Linked DNA regions of Drosophila melanogaster. The protein of the gene in region 1 purifies or fractionates together with the protein of each later gene. This does not show direct contact. Each region holds a gene or a part of one and is shown on either strand. Other genes may lie near its edges.

Evidence for each region. The genes of interacting proteins can lie anywhere in the genome.
Region 2: the proteins of yrt (region 1) and Tctp purify together in Drosophila melanogaster (affinity purification with western blotting, with the first as the bait; one study listed by BioGRID). This does not show direct contact.

What each region holds. Positions count from the first base shown.
Region 1 is NT_033777.3:13,433,203-13,437,164, reverse strand, and holds the start of yrt (yurt), read left to right. Parts: upstream 1-2,180; 5' UTR 2,181-2,892; coding exon 2,893-3,117; intron 3,118-3,710; coding exon 3,711-3,858; intron 3,859-3,923; coding exon 3,924-3,962.
Region 2 is NT_033777.3:11,208,711-11,212,310, reverse strand, and holds Tctp (translationally controlled tumor protein), read right to left. Parts: upstream 2,065-3,600; 5' UTR 1,931-2,064; coding exon 1,412-1,930; 3' UTR 413-1,411; downstream 1-412. Other genes in the region: SdhC (succinate dehydrogenase, subunit C), read left to right, coding at 2,512-2,513, 2,571-3,084. UniProt on the Drosophila melanogaster protein: Involved in calcium binding and microtubule stabilization.

The sequences.
Region 1 (3,962 bases):
TCAAACGGACGCAAATATTTGCCCACCTCGTATTACATACCCACGACTTGCCATTATCGTTAAGACAATACAAAAGGCCACATTTGGTACAGGGAGAAATAAGTGGCCTAAATTCGGGCAACAACTCACTTCCTGAATTTATTGAACCAAATGGGTAAGACTTCTAACGACACTGTTATTGAGCGTAATTTATAAATCTACTTTAAAGAAATTAATAGTAAACAGAAGATAATTAGCATATGGACATTTAAACTACAATTTTCCCATTATTGTTCTTTTCAACAGGTCCGTTTGAGTATTTTCAATTTATCGAATTATTTCATTTAACACTTCGTTTATTTATGATATATCTACAAAAAGAATATATATTTTCTTGAACATTAAGGAGAATTTATCAGTTATAACTATACTAATTCTTAGGATTACTCTTAACATTTTAATAATACCTATTTAATTGTTTTTGAAAATTTGTTGGCACCTTCGGATATATTTGTTCGAGTGCATTGTGCGTTTTGGCTGCGTATATGTACATATGAATGTAACCCTTTGCAAACATGTCTATTTTGGTCAATGGCAATGGCAACGCAAGCCATTTGTTAATTGTTGCCACACCCCTGCGGCCGAGAAAATCGAGCCGGGACGGGACCTGAATCTGGGGATCTGGCATATGGGATCTGGGATCTGGATGCCATGGACAGAGAACTGAAGCCGGGGGTCCGGGGCCTTTGGCCGCCTGTCATAATTACGGAACTGGCTGCTCAAGTTGCCGCAGCTGGCACCTAAGACATTGGCCATGGCTAAAGACCTGCATCGTCGCCTGCCTAGTTATTAAATAGATGGATGAATGGATGGATGGATGGGCGATACGGGGCTGCTGGGCGATTCCGATTCCATCGATGCCCGACCACAGATCGGGTTTCAGGTATTAGTCAGTAATTAATCATCCGCCTTGTTATAACGGCCAATTGTGTAATTACAGCATATATGGATATCTAATGCGTTCGATAAAAATGTAAATGCGCATACATACATATATGTACCTACATATATCGTCCTCAATCGGGCGAATTGAGAATTAATGGCCAATAAGCGAAAATGAATCATGCAATTGGCGCCCAATGGCTTCAAGTTCTCGCAAAATGTTGTAAAGCCCTCGGCCCAAAAGCCGAACCTCTCGAGGGCCCACTAAAACCCCGATATAAACAGGGCCCGCAGCCAAGATGTTAAAACACCCACCCACCGCCAACTCTACACACACACACTCGCACACACACACACACATATATGTAGACCGGAAATCGCCGGCGATAAATCTCCCATTTACCTTTAAACTCGAAATACGACTACCAATGGGGATCGAGGGTGAATCGGAGGAAAATGGGTGCGGAAGTTGGGGAAGTTAGGGAAGTTGGGATGTGCGGGAGTGGACACTGTTACGTCCTTAAATCCACTAACAAATAAAGGAATAAATTGCCCATAAAAAGGATTTTGCAAATGCCGGCTGCAACTACGGAACCCACTTGTGTTTCCTATTTTACAGTTATTGTGCACTTCTTTCTAGTTTAGTTGCTTGTACTAAACTTAAAGAATTGCGCGACCGCAAATGCCAACAAGTTTTGTGCGATTCTTGTCCACAGGCAAAAGTCAAAATATTATGATCAAGTCTGTAGCTTCTCTTTTGATGCAAAATATGGCTGGAATTGTTTTTTACTGTGTCTACATAATTTCGATTTATATTCGTGCTTTCTTCTTCTGATTTATTTAATTATCCCATGTGTATTAGCTAATAAATATAACGTTGAACAATTTTGAATTGAAAGAATCACACTGTAGCAAAATACTTGATGAGTTTGGATAAATTTAATTAATTAGAATTTTCTGCACAACGTATAGAAAATTTGTTGAAATCAATCTTTACTTCCATTTGTTTAATTTTTGGAAATTATCATTTGTTGTAAGATCTTTTATAATATTTTCTATCAAAATACAGGTTACATGAAAAACCAAGTGGAAAATTAAGAAAGTAAAATTGAAATGGACGAATTAGCTGTTTTCTAGCCAAGCGGGGAGGTTCGTGTCTTAGCTCAACGAATATCGTGGCTCTGCACCTGATTTGAATTCGACGGTCACACAGAAATACCGAAAACCGACATGTACAATTTGTTGTGTACTTGGTATATTTGTCGTGACCACATCTGGTCACACTGCTCGCATAAGATCAACAACTACTGCGGCCATTCTTACATTCTACTCCTAAAAAAATTCCGAAAGTGCACTTAAATAGCCCAAAATAATAACAAAACATAATAGTGACCGGACGATGCAGCACCGCCAACAAAATAAAGTGTGAAAACAAGTGATTGAATACCCGGAAAGTCGCCTCGCGAAGCGGGAACTAACGTGTTTGGCTGGCCTGTTTTTTCTCTCTCCTCTTTTTCGCCAACCAAAAACCAGGCTAACAGTGATTTTTTCGCGGGGGAGGGGGTGCGACGAGCCAAAACCCGTAGTAAAGAAACCGCCCGAAAGGAGCGCCCACTTTGGCCAGCAACTTTAGCTCAGCTCCCCGAACCAAAAGTGAAGAAAAAAACAAAAAACTAAAAGGAAAACTTAAGTAAAACGGGGGCGTCTATCGCTTGCAAGTGTGTTGGTTAGTCAGTGTACGTGTGTGTTGGCCAGAACAAGTTGGCTGCGCGTGTGTGCGTGTGAGGGGTTTTTTGATGTCTGCGCTGTCTTTTTTCCCCAGCCGAGGTGAGCACACAGGTGAATTATCGGTGCATTCGGCTGCCTTGGCAACAATTCCATAAAAACAACACATAGAAAACAACAATAACGACCACCCGCAATATATAATACATACATACACACGTTTAAAACCAAACAAAATCCAGAAAAATGCTCCGTTTTCTAAGCCGTCGCAAGGTGCGCAACAACTATGTGGATAATTCGAGAGAGGGCGGCGGGGCAACTAGTTCCGCGGTGGGCGTGGCTGGGGGTGGTGGTGCCATCACCTCCGGCGGCAGCTCACAAATAAAGCCACAACGCATCGTGGTCAACAAGAACAAAATCGACTGCCGCGTCATTCTGCTGGACAACACTGACCTTTCCATCGAATTATCGGTGAGTACAGGAGGGCCCACATCGAATTACATTTGGCCCATTTTCGATTTTTTGGCTTTCACCCTTTAAACTGCTGCCGTTGGCAGTAATTTTCGGAAGGCAAACAAACAAGCGATTGGATCTTATAAGAGAATACCGTCAAGGTAGAGATAAAGATAGAGCTAAAGTGGTTGGTAGGGCGGCTCAGTATTACGTACTAAATAAATAATGTCTTAAATTTTACGAATCATCTTTAGCTCTATCCTTTATACGAATTTTAAATTTGAGCTCAGAAATATTATTTATATTAAGAAGTAAGTCAGGGTATTTATTGTCCATTAAATGCACTCTGCTAAGAGAAGTATTGAATTCTCAAAACAGCCCAAAACAATTGTGTAGCAAACGTTTTAACCATTTCATTTATTGGTCCACCCTAATGAAGACACTACCGCAGCTTGCATTGCCTCAGTCCGTGTGATAAAAATAAGCAAATTGCTGCTGATCAGCACATAATTTAACCCGCTAAGCGAACGTGATTAGTTCAGGGTCGCATTGATTTACACCTGCCCCCCGTCGGAAGCATTAATTTTCCACTTTGCTGTTTGCGATTGCAGAAAAAGGCATTGGGCAGCTTTTTGTACGAACAGGTATTCTACGCACTGGACATCATCGAGAAGGATTACTTTGGGCTGCAGTTCATGGATGCCAATCACGTCAAGCACTGGCTAGATCCCACCAAGCCCATCAAGAAGCAGGTCAAAAGTGAGTTAATGTGTGAAACCAATTACGTGGGCCAAACAATACTAATTATTTTACCTTTCCCGCAGTTGGGCCGCCCTACACGTTCCGGCTGAAGGTGAAGTTTT
Region 2 (3,600 bases), 2.2 Mb from region 1:
CCGAACTGAAAGAAGTTTTAATTCCGGTTGGATGGGTACTTATCATTCGTTTTTTGTTGGGTACAAACAAATAACCAATTAACATATTCGATTAGATTAACCTATTTCAATTATTTACAAAAGATTCCCATTGAAAATAATCTGCTATTGAACTGCCCAGTTTACTACTTCTTTACAAAAATATAATTTAATTTGAAAGACCACAAAATAAACCAGAATTGTATAGCTTGTTGTTCTCCTTATTGTTAAAAAGTTTTCTTGGAACAATACTCCATTTCAACAACGCTTCATAAGAATGGAAAGGTACATAAATAGACACATATGTATGTATATTAAAAACCATTAAATTCAACAATGTATGAGAATAGCGAAGAAAAACTTTTAGCTTTTTATCCCGAAAATGGTTCTATTTCAACTAGATTCAAATACTTGAATAAAATATTCTTTACAATTTTAGGAAAATATATTGTGCTTTTCAAAAAAATTGTTTTCGAACATCAGACAATATCGCCGTTCGCCCTAACGAGTGTCCACTGTGCGCATCTCTCACGCGACGAACGGCAACAGGTCGACACGTTTCGCTGAAATGGAAATAGCACCTGGGGCGCAGAGCCCCGCCCTTCAAGCAGATAAAGACGTACGTATTGCTTGACCTGGAATTAGATTATAGAATCCCAAATTCCAGCGAGAGCGGCGCATTTCATTAGCATGGTTGAGGTTAGGGCGAAGCCAACGTGAGAAACTGGGGCAAGTCGAACTGCAACGTGCAGAAAATCGTGTTCCACTGCGCATGACCTCCAAAATGTCCAATGACGGTAACGGTATTGGTGCGGGGCATGTGTACATCACTGTCAAAGGTCAATAACTCCGCGATTGCCCCAAAAAGCAGCAACAACACAAACTAACTGAAGTCTGTGACTCAGACGGTGGTGGCGCCCTCTCGTTCCCACTCACGCCGCCATATGGCGGCGTCTACCTACGCATAACTGCAGATTTGGAAAGAAGTACAGACATGCGGATTCACAGTTGTTTTGTATAGGTGTTCCGTTTAATTTCAGTACTGGTGTTCCCATTTTCGGTCTTCGTTGCTTTTTGATATCTTAGCGAAAATGCATACTAATTTGTAGGTGTTGCTATCAAATTATTATTTTAATTACAATAGGTGGCGCAATTGAATTGTTTAGCTCGCTGTGATTAAACAATAAACATACAATGTCGAATTTATAAGCGCTCCGGTAAAAAGAAATTAGATATAAAATCGCACTGATCGAAGACAGGCATTTTTGTCAGCGTTTTTAAACATAAATTTAAGACTTTCAAAATTGTAACTAAGCATCTGATAAATATGTATATGTGTGTAGAAGGTATGCATGAGTATAGGTTCCGTTTTGTTTGGGGGATTGGGATCCATCTAGCATTTCTCCTCCTCCAGACCGTGCTTGAAGAACATGAGCACGGGCACGCTGTCGCCGTTGATTTCGCGGTATTCCACCAGGGCCACCATGCCGTCGCAGTCCATAGATTCGCCGGTGAAGAACTGCAGCTCCTTGAAGCGGCCAAGGATGTCCTTCATGGCCTTGTTCATGTTGGTCTTGAAGATGTCGACCTGGTCGGGCGACTTCTCCTCCAGCTTGGCCAGCACCTTCTTCATGTAGTCCTTCAGGTAGAGGGTGTACGACTTCTTGTCGCCGAAGGCGAAGCACTCCGTCAGTCGGTGGTTAAGCACAACATCCACGCCAGACTCCGAGGTGATATCAGTGCCCTCGTCGGCCTCCTCGGCGGATGCGTTGGCGCCCTCCAGCTTGATATCGTCACCCTGGCGGGTGATCAGCTTTCCGTACACCTCGTAGATCACATCATCCACCAGCTTCATCTTGTAGGTGTCGGCAAACATCTCGTCGCCGGTGATGATATCCTTGTAGATCTTCATGGTGATTGGCTTGTCGGGAGTCGGAAGATGGCGTCTAAATCGCTGGCGAAAATGCAACTACAACTGCACCGGACCGGGAACACTGCGAAACGACCTGCCACGCGCTCACTCGAACAGCAAAAAGAATGAGCGAGAAAAAATGGCGAAAGAACTGCCAACTCGCTTGGGAGTGGTAACGATTGATCCGGGAGTGGCAGCGCCTACTATACACGTATCGATAATTTCAATGTTTTCTTCGATTTATTGTTAGTTAAGAGCAGGGAATATTAACAAGGCGAACAAAATTATTATAGCTATAATATTGATGTTTCTTACGTATATTTATGGCCATTCTAACTTTTAATAATTTGAGACTGTTTCAGTAAAAAAGATAAATATGTGTAATATTCTCAATTGGAATAATATAAAAGTGGGAACAGAATTAATCATATAAAGTAATAACAATGTTTTACAGTTGATATAAAATCAATACTTTCGAGACTTATTTGTTTTTTACCAACGTAGTGGCATCCCTGTTTGCGGTAATATCGCGCAGTCAGTGTACGGTCCCATCAATACAAGTTCGAGTGAAAAACAGGGAAATGTACGTAATTTCTGTGATGGCACTGCAAAAACCCTGATTTGTGACTGCTTTTTGCAGGTATGCACTCTCCAGTTCTTTGATCCGCTCTCCGGCGCTGCGCCAGGGCCTCCAGATGGCCGCTGCCAGCCGCCCGGTATCGATGAAGGTGGTTTCCGTGGCCGAAACCCAGAAGGACGAGTCGTTCTTCGAGAAGAACGAGCGCTTGGGCAGGGAGCTGTCGCCCCATCTGACCATCTACCAACCGCAGCTGACCTCCATGCTCTCGATCTGTCACCGCGGCACAGGATTGGCCCTGGGTGTGGGTGTTTGGGGTCTGGGATTGGGCGCTCTGATCTCGTCCCACGACATTAGCCACTATGTGACCATGGTGGAGGGCCTCCAGCTGAGTGGCGCCACTCTGACCGCCCTCAAGTTTATCATCGCCTATCCGGCTGGCTATCACACCGCCAATGGTATTAGGCATCTCCTCTGGGACACCGGACGGTTCCTGAAGATCAAGGAGGTTTACTCCACCGGTTACGCAATGGTCGCCACCTCTTTCGTGCTATCCGCTATCTTGGCCCTGCTCTAAGTCCAAGACCCCAGCTAAACCTATTACATTTTAGTGCGAACACTGTGTGAAAATTGTTATATACTAAATACATGTAGTGTGTATATTTATAAAGGTGTTTGTTGTGTTACGCAATCCATTTTGTTGCTTTGGGCGTGCTGCATACGTTTGTTGTGCGCTGCAATTTGCACGGTGTGCGTGTTTTTAACGATTTCGGTGATTTGTAGAGTGAATTCAGTGTGGAGGCCGGTTAAATAGACATCTTGCGGTCCATTGACAGCGAAATCAAGTATACGCCCCGAACAAGCGATTTCCGATAGCAGAATATTACTTACATGCGCCCAAAAGTAGGGAATACTTTTTATAGGCTTAAATTTACATGAAAAATTAAAACCAAATGCAAAAGGGCTCCGAAAATGTATTTATTTAAGAGTAGCTCTTTGGCTTCCCTAACTATAGAAAAGTCTTCTAAAGATCCTTTTACTTCGGAACTGAAGAATCTTTTTATTAGATGGGGGATTCAGTTCATGTACAGAA